Macaca fascicularis: one gene and its partners. The protein of the gene in region 1 interacts with the protein of each later gene in a pairwise test. Links are inferred from orthologs where the notes say so. Each region holds a gene or a part of one and is shown in the gene's direction. Other genes may lie near its edges.

Region 1 (4,264 bases):
TTTGAACGACTGGGTACTCAGAGTATGGTTGCAAGGTGGATGTGGGTTTGGGGTTGGCAAGTGCACTTAGTCCCTCAGACTTCTTGTCCCATGGGGAAGAGGACCAGAGGGGAACTCTAAAGTGATGATGTGGGCTGCTTTGCCTATGGAGTAGCCATTCTTTATTCCTTTACTTTCTTAATAAACGTACTTTCACTTTGAAAAAATAAAATAAAAATCAAGTAAGGTCTGGAAGCAGAAGCCCGTATTGCTCAGATAGCAGGACAATATTGAGAAAATCTCAAAGAAAAGCAGGAGACATCAAGCAAGGGATAAGAAAGCAACTTAAAAATGCTGGAGGTCTACTGCATGATAAGACAACGAGTATTGTGGGACTCCAAGACCCTGGGTCACTGTAGGATTCTTAGTCTCTCTATACTTCAGAAAGGAGCAAGCAATTTTTAGTTGCTCCTCAATACAACAACCCTATGTAATGGGCATTTTGTTACTATTTTAATGGATAAACAACCTTATGGTTCAAAAAGTAAAAGATGTAACGAAATCTACTTCTTTACGGCGGTACAGTTATCATCCCCATTTCACACGAGGAGAAACTGAGGTAAATGAATGGTAAACCAACTTGCTTGGGCACAAGTGAGAGGTAGCAGAGCTGGGCTTGTTATTGCCACACAGAAATGTTACCATCTGATAATTAAACCTTTCTTTTTCTAAACAAAACTGCAAGTGCCTACAAATGGGTCTGTTTAATAAAAGGCCTCACCTATCAGGTGGGCTCAGACGGTGACCCTCCTCATCCTCCAGCCTCTTGGGGAAGCCAGATGTCTGCGCTCCCCAGCACCTATATAAAGCCAGCTTTCTTTCTTCTTTTCTTTTTTTTTCAAGACGGAGTCTCGCTCTGTCGCCCAGGCTGGAGTGCAGTGGCGATCTCGGGTCACTGCAACCTCCGCCTCCAGGGTTCAAGCGATTCTGCTGCCTCAGCCTCCTAAGTAGCTGGGACTACAGGCGCCTGCCACCACGCCCGGCTAATTTTTCTATTTTTAGTAGAGATGCGGTTTTACCATGTTGGCCAGGATAGTCTCGATCTCCTGACCTCGTGATCCACCCGCCTCGGCCTCCCAAATGCTGGGATTACAGGCGTGAGCCACTGCGCGCGGCCAAAGCCATCTTTAGCAGGGGCTGAGACCTGGGCACCAAGAAGAAACCCAACTAAACACTAGGGGCCTGGGCCCGGCAGTCGCGGAAGATTGTAGGCCCGGAGCGTGTGGCACCATCTGCTTTTGTGACCAGTCCCCTAGGCTAGAGCTTCGGCGCGACCCGCCCAAGGGAGAGTGGCGGAGCCTCCCAGGCCTTTCTAGAGAAAGCAGCCCGGGCCCCGAGGCCACGAAATCTTGTCACACACTATAAGCGCGGGCCAAGCCCCGCCCCCCGAGCCGCCTCTTCCGCTCGCGCCGGGGTGGGGTCTACGCGGCCGCCGGGATCCGCTCGGACGCGGCCACGTTGTCTTGCGCGCTTTGCGCGCCTGGCCCTGGGATCCTGACCCTTGGCTACCCGTTCCTGCCCCAGTAACGTGGCCGCGAGTCTCTGTGAGCCGGCTGTATTCCCGCACTCGCTCAGGGGGCACAGGCGCAGGGATCGGCCCGGCCACTCTGAGCCTTCGGTGCGCGGGCGCGTCTGGGATACGGGCCCGGGAGGCACCGCCCTCCGTCCGCCCGGTGCCTCCCAGGAACAGCGAACGGGAGAGAGCGCCGGAGAGTTGGGCTCCGTGCAGAGCTCGGCGCCGGGGCCCATGCCCGTGAGCCCCCGCAGGCCCGCGCCATGGCCTCCGGGAGCGTGGCCGAGTGCCTGCAGCAGGAGACCACCTGCCCCGTGTGCCTGCAGTACTTCGCAGAGCCCATGATGCTCGACTGCGGCCATAACATCTGTTGCGCGTGCCTCGCCCGCTGCTGGGGCACGGCAGAGACTAACGTGTCGTGCCCGCAGTGCCGGGAGACCTTCCCGCAGAGGCACATGCGGCCCAACCGGCACCTGGCCAACGTGACCCAGCTGGTGAAGCAGCTGCGCACCGAGCGGCCGTCGGGGCCCGGCGGCGAGATGGGCGTGTGCGAGAAACACCGCGAGCCCCTGAAGCTCTACTGCGAGGAGGACCAGATGCCCATCTGCGTGGTGTGCGACCGCTCCCGCGAGCACCGCGGCCACAGCGTGCTGCCGCTCGAGGAGGCAGTGGAGGGCTTCAAGGTGAGGGCGCGGATCCGGGAGGGCGGGAACGCGAGTCGGACAAAGGGAGGAGAGAGCCAAAGGGGCTTCCCTTTTTCCGCCTAGAAAATGGCTGAGCCGGACGTGTGGTTCACAGCCGTCATTTCCTCTCTGTCCGCTCCAGAGCCTCAGCACTCAGATTTGGAGGAAAACCTGTAGCTGGCGAGGGAGCCAGAAGTCTCCCCACCCCCACTCTCCTTTCTCTGTGTGCCCCCATGTTTCCTGTCTCACGGACACATTGTACACGGAGACATGCTTTTGACAGTATAAAAGAAGTGCATAAAATCGCTTGCACATCGACGAGCTGTAGAGACACATGTACTCTCGTCGGCTGTCAGACAAAACGCAGTCGGACATTAACTGACCGATGCCCATTCCTTGGTCTATAAGCATTTCCCCAGCACTTTCCTGCAATACGTCCTGGTCTAGAAACTCACAGAAAAGAACAGGCTCTTCACTGCTTAAGTCATTTAACCACTCTGAGACTCAGGAGATAACAGTTATGAGGAAGATTATGGAATCATGTGATGCACAGAGCCCTCTGTGAACTGGCACAGCTAAACAGAAACGTGGAAACAAAATATTACATATAAAACAGTTGTAAGGTGACCTTCAAGGAGTCCATGATACTGTGTATTTTCTGTATGTTGAGGGCTTCAGGAATTCATACACAATTATGTCCGTGTTTAAATATGAATACATTCATGTGTAATTAATCACTTAACATTTATGGACCTTTCAGCTATATTCTTTCACTTACTCTGGTGAGAACTCTTGAGTAGGTTGGGAAGATGGTGTTTGCCCATTTCACACATGAGGGAAATAAGAAGTCACTTTCACAGTATGCTTGTGTGGAAGAGCTACAATACAACATAACTCTAAGCCTCCTACTCCAGTCACAGTTCCGCTAAGTCATGCGATATCCTACCAGGGACAGGTAGATGATTCATTGTTTAAGATAGACACAAATAATCCTGACGAGGTAGCTGAGTGGTTGAAGCGACAGGCTGCTAAGATAGACACAAATTGCCAAATGAGTGGCTTGTTGGCCCCTGCGCCCTGAGTCTTTCTCTTGTGGGTGGCAGTGTGGCCTGAGAACAAGTGCCAACTGGATACTTGGCATCAGGTGTGTGGACTCCATGTGTGATTAGAAGTACCATGCTGATGCTAAGGTCTACCTAGTTTTGAACTGCCCATCTGTTTTGCTTTTCTCAGGAGCAAATCCAGAACCAGCTTGACCATTTAAAAAGAGTGAAAGATTTAAAGAAGAGACGTCGGGCCCAAGGGGAACAGGCACGAGCTGAACTCTTGGTAAGGGTTGTTGGAATTCACAGTCGCTTCTGCTGGTGCTCCCCTCTTCTGTAGAGCTGATGTTACTTCCCTTAGACTTGTCCAGCATGTCACCCAGAACCTGTAGGTAGAGGGGGATCAACTGCACATGGCAGTGGGAACTCACCCAGAGAACTAAGAGATTCCCTTTCTTTTGGGGAAAGCGTGGAGGAGCCAAGTTTGGAACCCTTGGAAATCAGACCTGTCAGTATAGTTTAACCTGCTAACTGCGTAGACCAAGGTTGATCCTTGGCAAAGCTGAGATGGGTAAAATTATTGGATACAGTTAGCTTGCGTTGTTACCATTCTTCAGACAAGTGCTAATAGTGGATTTGTGTAAGTCCCACTGTTGCTTCTCTTTGTGTTATTCTCCTTTCTTGACAATGCCTTAATTCTGAATTTTTTGCTCTGCTCTCTTCCTCCAATCTCTCAAGGCCTCGACAAGTGGCTGATGTATTAATTTATGATAGGGGTATATGGGAATTTTTTCTTTTTATTTCCGACAGGGTCTCACTCTGTCACCCAGGCTGGAGTGCAATGGCAAGGTTTCGACTCACTGCAACCTCTGCCTCACATTTCAAGTGATTCTCCCACCTCAGCCTCCCAGGTAGCTGAGGCTACAGGCATGTACCAACACACCCAGCTGATTTTTGTATTTTTAGTAGAGATGGGGTTTCACCAT
Region 2 (2,297 bases), on another chromosome or scaffold:
GAACCCTGAACAAACACTCTGGCATTGACTTCAAACAGCTTAACTTCCTGACGAAGCTCAACGAGAATCACTCTGGAGAGGTGACCCCTGCCCTTCTTGCCCTTCCCTCACTAAACCCCCGTAAATTACCTGCTTTGTACCTGGTTTAAGTTTTTCCTCCAGTTAGAGGGCAAGGAAGTGGTAGCAACAGTAAAAGCCTCCTAACCTCTACCTATTCTTCAGCTATGGAAGGGCCGCTGGCAGGGCAATGACATTGTCGTGAAGGTGCTGAAGGTTCGAGACTGGAGTACAAGGAAGAGCAGGGACTTCAATGAAGAGTGTCCCCGGCTCAGGTAGTGCAAGGCGTAACCTGGAAGCTGCTAGTTCCAGGGAATCCTGAATAGCACTGAAAGAGATCTTTTATACTCTGTCTCAACCACTCCCTCCCTCTTCCAGGATTTTCTCGCATCCAAATGTGCTCCCAGTGCTAGGTGCCTGTCAGTCTCCACCTGCTCCTCATCCTACTCTCATCACACACTGGATGCCATATGGATCCCTCTACAATGTACTACATGAAGGCACCAGTGAGTAGAGATGTTGAATTTTCTTGGGGAGGAAATGGGAGAGAGGGTGCATGAGCCTCTCTGAACTATTTGAACTTTTGCTTCCTCTCAGATTTCGTCGTAGACCAGAGCCAGGCTGTGAAGTTTGCTTTGGACATGGCAAGGGGCATGGCCTTCCTACACACACTAGAGCCCCTCATCCCACGACATGCGCTCAATAGCCGTAGTGTAATGGTGAGGCCACAAGCTCACTCCTGGCCCAGGCCCCAAAAGTCCTTTGCCTATCTATGACTTACCTCCTTCTGTTTTCTCTTCCTCAGATTGATGAGGACATGACTGCCCGAATTAGCATGGCTGATGTCAAGTTCTCTTTCCAATGTCCTGGTCGCATGTATGCACCTGCCTGGGTAGCCCCTGAAGGTGGGTGAAGTCATCATGTTGGGAGGTGAAAAAGGATCACCTCAGAAGTAGTGGAAGGGGGCAGAGACAGGAAAGGCCAGGGGGCCAGAACAGACAAGCCCTATCCCTCTAGCTCTGCAGAAGAAGCCTGAAGACACAAACAGACGCTCAGCAGACATGTGGAGTTTTGCAGTGCTTCTGTGGGAACTGGTGACACGGGAGGTACCCTTTGCTGATCTTTCCAATATGGAGATTGGAATGAAGGTGAGAGCAGAACAGCATACATTTGTGTTGGGGGAGTGGTTGGTTATGGTGAAAATAACTGTAGTGGGCCTGGGCTCCTCCCATATTTGTTCGGATATACAGTTATCCTGTCCCAGGGGCCAGTGGCTTCTCTCTACATGACAGACTCAAATTGTGAGGCTCAGTTTTTTCTTGTATTCACAGGTGGCATTGGAAGGCCTTCGGCCTACCATCCCACCAGGTATTTCCCCTCATGTGTGTAAGCTCATGAAGATCTGCATGAACGAAGACCCTGCAAAGCGACCCAAATTTGACATGATTGTGCCTATCCTGGAGAAGATGCAGGACAAGTAGGACCGGAAGGCCCTTGCCTGAACTCCAGAGGTGTCAGGACATGGTTGGGGGAATGTACTTCCCCAAAGCAGCAGACCTCTGGTTGCCTCCCCTGCCTCCAGTCATGGTACTACCCCAGCCATGGGGTCCATCCCCTTCCCCCATCCCTACCACTGTGGCCCCAAAAGGGGCGGGCTCAGAGCTTTGTCACTTGCCACATGGTGTCTCCCAACATGGGAGGGATCAGCCCCGCCTGTCACAATAAAGTTTATTATGAAAACAGGCTGGTGTGGGGACATGGGGACAGACAAGTACATTTAGGTTGGGTGGCTCAGGTGAAGTAGTGCGGCTTCTTCACATTGATGCCATACTCGCTGAGGGCAGGGGTCAAGTCCTCCATGGTTAAAGTATACTTGCGGTCCTGAGGGAAGAGGGAAGAGCACCAACTGAGCACAGGAATCCCACACTTCAATCCCAGATGGGTGACCCTGAGTAAGTTTTACACCTCCCCTAGGATTCAGTTTCCCCAAAGGGGTGGCAGGATAAGCTTCCACTGTTGTGGAAGGTAATTAGTGATTCAATGAGCCTCCCCTCACACCTTGCTCTTGCTCCGGGAGCTGCCGGAGGCTGTGCCCTTCATTTTGCAGTGCTGTAGGGCATCATTGGCAATATCTGAGATGAATTTCTGGGCAGCTAGGGAGATGAGCCGAATTCTAGAGAGAAAAAACTTAGATGAGAAGGAGATGGACAACACACTGCACAAGCACCCAAAACTAACCT
Region 3 (2,764 bases), on another chromosome or scaffold:
GAAATTGGAGCTAGTGGGTCATACTGCCCCCAGCATGTCACGCTGCCTGTCACTGTCACATTCTTTGATGTTTCTGAGCAAAATGCCCCGGCTCCCTTCCTGGTATGCCTTGACTCCAACCCCAAAGTCAGCTCATCAGGAGGATAAGGAATTGGGGCGGGGCTGGGTGCAAGAGGTATTTTTTACTTATTCCTCACCTAGGAGTGAGTCAGGGCCAGGTGAGGAGAACTCTAGTGTAGGGCAGGGGCAGGTTCAGGGTGAGAGACTGTGGAGAGGGACATGTATTTAGGGCTCAGAGTTTTCCTAGTCCCCACCTTGACTGATGGCTCCCTGGCCTTCCCAGGGCATCGTGGATCTGAACCCCCTGGGGAGGAAGGGTTACAGCGTGCCCAAGGTGGGCACCATCCAAGTGGTGAGTTTGCCCTGAGGGAGTGGGAGTGGGGAGAGAGGAAAGCAGCCCTCAGGCTGTACCAACCTTGACTGTCCTGTCCCCAGACCTTATTTAACCCCAACCAGACTGTGGTAAAGATGTTCCTCGTGACCTTTGACTTCTCGGACATGCCTGCTGCCCACATGACCTTCCTTCGCCATCGCCTCTTTTTGGTGCCTGTGGGTGAGGAGGGAAATGCTAACCCCACCCACCGCCTCCTCTGCTACTTGCTGCACCTCAGGTGAGGAGAGGGCCCAGGGACGGCTGGGGAGGCCCAGGTATCCCTTCCCTGAAGAGGATCTCTCCTTGCTTCGATACTGTTTGGATTCTTGCTTGGTTTATTTTTAAATTTTTATGTATGTGTGTATGTGTGTGTGTATATATTTATTTATTTATTTATTTATTTATTTATTTATTTATTTATTTTTAGAGACAGAGTCTTGCTATGTTGCTCAGGCTGGTCTCCAACTCCTGGGCTCAAGCAGTCCTCCCACCTGGACCTCCCAAAGCACTGGAATTACAGGCATGAGCTACTGCGACCAGCCTGGATTCTTAATTTGATAACATTGTCCTCCTCAGGTTCCGGAGCTCCCGCTCAGGCCGCTTAAGCCTGCATGGAGATATCCGCCTGCTTTTTTCCCGCCGGAGCCTGGAGCTGGACACAGGGCTCCCTTACGAACTGCAGGCTGTGACCGAGGCCCCTCATAATCCACGTTATTCACCTTTGCCCTGATTGCCAGCACTCTGAATCCATGCGGCCTAACGACCTGCCCATCCTGCTCCATCTTAGAGAACATATATGGAGAGACAGCAAGAGACCCTTCAGGCTTGAATTAAAGCCCTCACCATGCTCTTGCCCAAATGGATTATTTGGGTGTTTAAAGCTTCTGATCCTTACTACACCCTGCCCTACTCGGGTACTCCATGTGCCTGTCCCCTCCCTTGGGTTTCCCAGGCCAGCTTAGGTAGGGAGGAACCGGAGCTACCCTGAGGTTGTCCCAAGTTCCCAGGCAAGTTATGCCAGCGTTGCCTCCCCATCCTGGGCAGGGGCCACTTATTATTTTATTTATTTTTAATTTATAATTTATTCAAATTGGATTGCCTTGGTAACCTCCCACACCTGATAATTGGCATCACTCCCCCCCCTTCCCACTCTCAGATATTGCTCCAACCTCAAGAGTTGAAGAGGCTTACGCCGGGGGTAGGAGGAGAACTGCTCTCCCTCAGCTGAGGGAAGAGGGGCTATTCCAGAGGGACTGAGTCAGTAGCCAAAGACTCAGCTTCCCCTGCCCTTCCCCTAGTCCCTTCACTTCCCCTACCCTCTGACCTATCTCTGAAAGCCAAGTTAGGCGTTTGTGTGTGTACACGAGCTTGTCTTTGTGTGGTGTGTGTGTGTGAGAGAGTGTACATGTATGCACACACACAGGGGTTAACCACCCCTCACCTAGGGCTCCAGACTCCAGTTGTCCCTCTCCTCCTGCCTGTGTCTCCTTGCTTTGGGGTCCTGACTGAAGAAGGTGTCCAGGGGGCAGAGTCAGGGCCAAGCACTGGGGTGCCTCCACTCACCTGGCCAGACTCTGACCCACCTACCTCAGCTGGGGTGAGGGGCACCCCTCAAACTCAGTCATGTGGTTCCAAATTACCCCATTCCCCACTCCAGACTCTGACCCAGCCTCAGTCCTGACTCCTGAGGCTGGGCTGAGGGGAACAAGCATTTGCTGAAACTTGAAAAAACAAAGCAAATCAGAAACAGGAAAAAATTGTACCTGGTACTTTTTTTTAGAAAAAAAAAAGATTAAAAAAGAAAGAATAAATTCTTGTTTGGAAACTTGAACTAAGCTCTACTTTTGTTGTTGTTGTTGTTGGGGAGAGGGTGCGAAGGGGGATAGAGGGCCTTCCTGGAGCTGGGACTCAGCCCTTTCTACCAGAGAGGAGGCAACAGGCCTGGGCCCATGAGGTCTTAGGCTAGCCCCTGCTGATTCCTGGGGCCTGGTCTTGCTCCTTTCGGAGGAGTTGGTGGGTAAAGTTGAGTCCTAGAAGCTGAATTCTGAATTGTAGATCAGGATTCTGATACTGGTTCTGTTAATGACTTTAGCCCTTCAGAACTTCAGTGCCCTCATATGTAAAATGGAGGTGACTACGGAGGTCTCTTGACTACCAGAACATCAGGGATGTGTGCAAGGTGACGTGCTCCAGACAAGGTTGAACGTTGAGGCTGTTTGCCGGACTCGGTATTTAAGACCGGGCATAACAAACCTTGCTTGGAAAGAGAGGGAAGGAGCTGTAGTGTCTTTGAGGAAAGAGGGGAGGGGAAAATCTCGTCCCAATCGCCAG
Region 4 (3,025 bases), on another chromosome or scaffold:
ACATAGATGGTTTTCAACAAGAGTGCCAAGACAATTTAGTAGGGACAGAATACTGTTTAACAAGTGGTGCTGGAACAAGGAGGTATCCATATGCCAAAGAATGAAGCTGGGCCTTATTCCATAGCACATACAAAAATTAACTCAAAATGGATAAAAGACCTAAAAGGTCCCAAAGAGCTGAGGCCAGAAAACTCGTAGAAAAGCCATAGGGGTAAATCTTCATGACCTTGGATTTGGTAATGGATTCTTAGATAGCACACCAGAAGCATGAGCAAAGAGAGAAACAGACAAATTGGACTTCATCAAAAGTAAAACAAAACAAAAAACAAATTTTGTGCTTCAAAGGACAGTATCAAAAAAATGAAAAGCCAACCCAGAGAATGGGAGAAAACATTTGTAAATTGTGCATTTGAAATGGGACTAGTATGCAGAATATTTAAGAACTCTGACAATTCAACAGTAAGAAGACAAACAATCCAATGAAAAATCGCTATAGGACCTGAATAGATATTTCTTCAAAGAAGATACAGTATATAAATGGCCAATAAGCATGTGCGAAGATGCTTAAATCACTAGTTGTTAGTGAAATGCAAATGAGATGCTGTTTCCCATCCCTCAGGAAAAAGATGGACAAGGTCATGTGCTGTTATGGACTCGGATGCCATCAGAGGCTGTCCTGGGGAGGGGGGTTTGGAAGCAGGTTTTGTGGGGCCATTGGAGACTCCTAAGTAATGTCGAGGAAGTAATTAAAATAGAACGTCCTGGGCCAGGCATGGTGGCTCACGTTTGTAATCCCAGCACTATGGGAGGCCCAGGCGGGCGGATCACCTGAGGTCAGCAGTTCGAGACCAGCCTGGCCAACATGGTGAAACCCCATCTCTACTAAAAATACAAAAACGTAGCTGGGTGTGGTGTCACGCAGCTATAGTCCCAGCTACTCGGGAGGCTGAGGCAGGAGAATCGCTTGAGCCGGGGAGGCGGAGGTTGCAGTGAGTGGAGTTGGCACCACTGCACTCCAGCCTGGATGATAGAGTGAGACTGCAGCTTAAAAAAAAGAATGTCCTGCCAATCCAGCGATCATCTTCTCAGAGGTAGGAAAGAATGAAGCCATTTTACTGACTAAACATTAAAGCAGCCTTTGAGGCCCAGAGGTTGCCAAGACAGAGGAAGGGGGGAGGTCCCCCTTCCTCCCAGGCAAGCCGACTGGCCCTGTTCCGCAGGCGTCCTCACTGGAGGGGACCCGTCCGAACTCACACCTCCAGGGCCGGGTTCCTCTGTCCTCGCAGGGCCAGCGCTGGGGCAGGCTCCCCCGTGACAGGGGACCAGTTCCCACCCTCAAGATTAAAAGGTTTACCTCGTCCCAAAGGGACAGAAGGGAGCCGAGGACAGGGCGAAGGGAAACCTGTCTTGCCCTTTGGCACTTTAAGAAGCTCCTTTTCTTTCAGATTCTATTTGCCAGACAGTGGGGGGTGGCGGCAGGCGGGGCGGGGTGGGGGATGGAGGAGCCGCCCCCCAAGTGCCGGGGGACGGAGGGGGGGACCCTCTGGGGCAATAGATCCTCGCGCTCCCGTGACCTTGTCCCCGGCCTTCCCTCCCCCAGAGATCCAGAGCTTCGCGGGCGCCGAGAAGGACGCGCGCGTGGTGGGCGAGATCGCCTTCCAGCTGGACCGCCGCATCCTGGCCTACGTGTTTCCGGGCGTGACGCGGCTCTACGGCTTCACGGTGGCCAACATCCCCGAGAAGATCAAGCAGGTGCGCCCCGCGGGGAGGGCGCGGCCAGGAGGGTGCTGGGCGCTCGGTTCATCCCTGTGAGGCCCCCAGATCTTGGCTCTTGCCCGGGCGCTGTCCGCGGGAGGGGACCCCGGGGACCCAGGAGGGCGGGGCAGGGGTCGGCCCTGGGCCTGGAAGTCCCCGTCCGAGGGCCCCGAGATCCCCCCGCCTCCGCCATCCATGCGCTGCGCCCGCAGACCTCCATCAAGTCCCTGGACGGCTCCGTGGACGAGAAGAAGCTGCGCGAGCTGACGCAGCGCTACCTGGCCCTGAGCGCGCGCCTGGAGAAGCTGGGCTACAGCCGCGACGTGCACCCGGCGTTCAGCGAGTTCCTCATCAACACCTACGGAATCCTGAAGCAGCGGCCCGACCTGCGCGCCAACCCCCTGCACAGCAGCCCGGCCGCGCTGCGCAAGCTGGTCATCGACGTGGTGCCCCCCAAGTTCCTGGGCGACTCGCTGCTGCTGCTCAACTGCCTGTGCGAGCTCTCCAAGGAGGACAGCAAGCCACTCTTCGCCTGGTGAGCCGCCCCGCGCCCACCGCCTTGCCTGCAGTAAACGCGTTTGTTCCAACCCGGAGGCCGTGGTGCCTCCTGCGCGTCCTCCCGGAGGGGAAAGGGCCGCGCTCCCCGCGCGCGAGGCCGGAGCAGGCGCCTCTCCCGCCCGCGCTGGGCCCCGACCGCAGCCCGCCGCCGCCCGCACCTGCGGAGTGCTTGTCACCCCTCATTAAATCATCCGTTTGCTTGTCTGCCTTTACCAAACTCTGGCTCTTTGAGGGCGTGGAGGGCGCCTGCAGGAAGCGCCGCTCGGTGCTCCTGGCGGGAAGCCGGGAAGGAGCCGCAGGCTGCAGGGACCCCCGCTCCCCACTTTCTTCTCCGCCTCCCCACCCCTCCCCCGGGCCTCCGCACCCACCCGCTTTCCTGCCCGGGACGACGAGTCCTGTCCCAGTTTGAGTTTCCCCAAATGACAAGCTGGGGTAAGGATTTGGTTCTGGCGGATGGTTGCGCACCCCTGCAGGCAAAATGGAAACGCGGCCCCTTGTTCAAAAGCGAAGAATTCGAAGAATTCGAAAGAGCAACAGCCGAGCGTTACAGTGAACCGGGGCCTTAGGACTGAGCGGTGGCAACGCAGGCGGGCGAGCGCCAGGGAGCCCCGAGACCGTGGGCGTGCAGGGGGTGGGCGAGCGCTGGGGAGCCCTGGAGACCATGGGGGTGCTGGGGGTGGGCGAGTACAGGGGAGCCCCGGAGACCATGGGG

What was found. The genes of interacting proteins can lie anywhere in the genome.
Region 2: the proteins of TRIM27 (region 1) and ILK interact in binary tests that used the Homo sapiens proteins (3 or more experiments, as listed by UniProt). The two-hybrid records come from large-scale screens. The link is inferred for Macaca fascicularis from reciprocal best matches to the Homo sapiens genes TRIM27 and ILK.
Region 3: the proteins of TRIM27 (region 1) and ATOSB interact in binary tests that used the Homo sapiens proteins (3 or more experiments, as listed by UniProt). The link is inferred for Macaca fascicularis from reciprocal best matches to the Homo sapiens genes TRIM27 and ATOSB.
Region 4: the proteins of TRIM27 (region 1) and SPATC1L interact in binary tests that used the Homo sapiens proteins (3 or more experiments, as listed by UniProt). The two-hybrid records come from large-scale screens. The link is inferred for Macaca fascicularis from reciprocal best matches to the Homo sapiens genes TRIM27 and SPATC1L.

What each region holds. Positions count from the first base shown.
Region 1 is NC_088378.1:144,252,550-144,256,813, forward strand, and holds the start of TRIM27 (zinc finger protein RFP), read left to right. Parts: upstream 1-1,464; 5' UTR 1,465-1,815; coding exon 1,816-2,235; intron 2,236-3,468; coding exon 3,469-3,564; intron 3,565-4,264. UniProt on the Homo sapiens protein: E3 ubiquitin-protein ligase that mediates ubiquitination of various substrates and thereby plays a role in diffent processes including proliferation, innate immunity, apoptosis, immune response or autophagy.
Region 2 is NC_088388.1:59,469,051-59,471,347, reverse strand, and holds the end of ILK (scaffold protein ILK), read left to right. Parts: coding exon 1-80; intron 81-222; coding exon 223-332; intron 333-435; coding exon 436-563; intron 564-654; coding exon 655-776; intron 777-862; coding exon 863-962; intron 963-1,074; coding exon 1,075-1,205; intron 1,206-1,388; coding exon 1,389-1,538; 3' UTR 1,539-1,797; downstream 1,798-2,297. Other genes in the region: TAF10 (transcription initiation factor TFIID subunit 10), read right to left, coding at 1,849-1,938, 2,116-2,230. UniProt on the Homo sapiens protein: Scaffold protein which mediates protein-protein interactions during a range of cellular events including focal adhesion assembly, cell adhesion and cell migration.
Region 3 is NC_088389.1:64,324,357-64,327,120, forward strand, and holds the end of ATOSB (atos homolog protein B), read left to right. Parts: coding exon 1-102; intron 103-343; coding exon 344-412; intron 413-495; coding exon 496-671; intron 672-860; coding exon 861-1,038; coding exon of another isoform or gene 1,039-1,163; 3' UTR 1,164-2,264; downstream 2,265-2,764. UniProt on the Homo sapiens protein: Transcription regulator that may syncronize transcriptional and translational programs.
Region 4 is NC_088377.1:954,694-957,718, forward strand, and holds the end of SPATC1L (speriolin-like protein), read left to right. Parts: intron 1-953; exon of another isoform or gene 954-1,057; coding exon of another isoform or gene 1,058-1,091; intron 1,092-1,600; coding exon 1,601-1,752; intron 1,753-1,963; exon of another isoform or gene 1,964-1,967; coding exon 1,968-2,294; 3' UTR 2,295-2,525; downstream 2,526-3,025.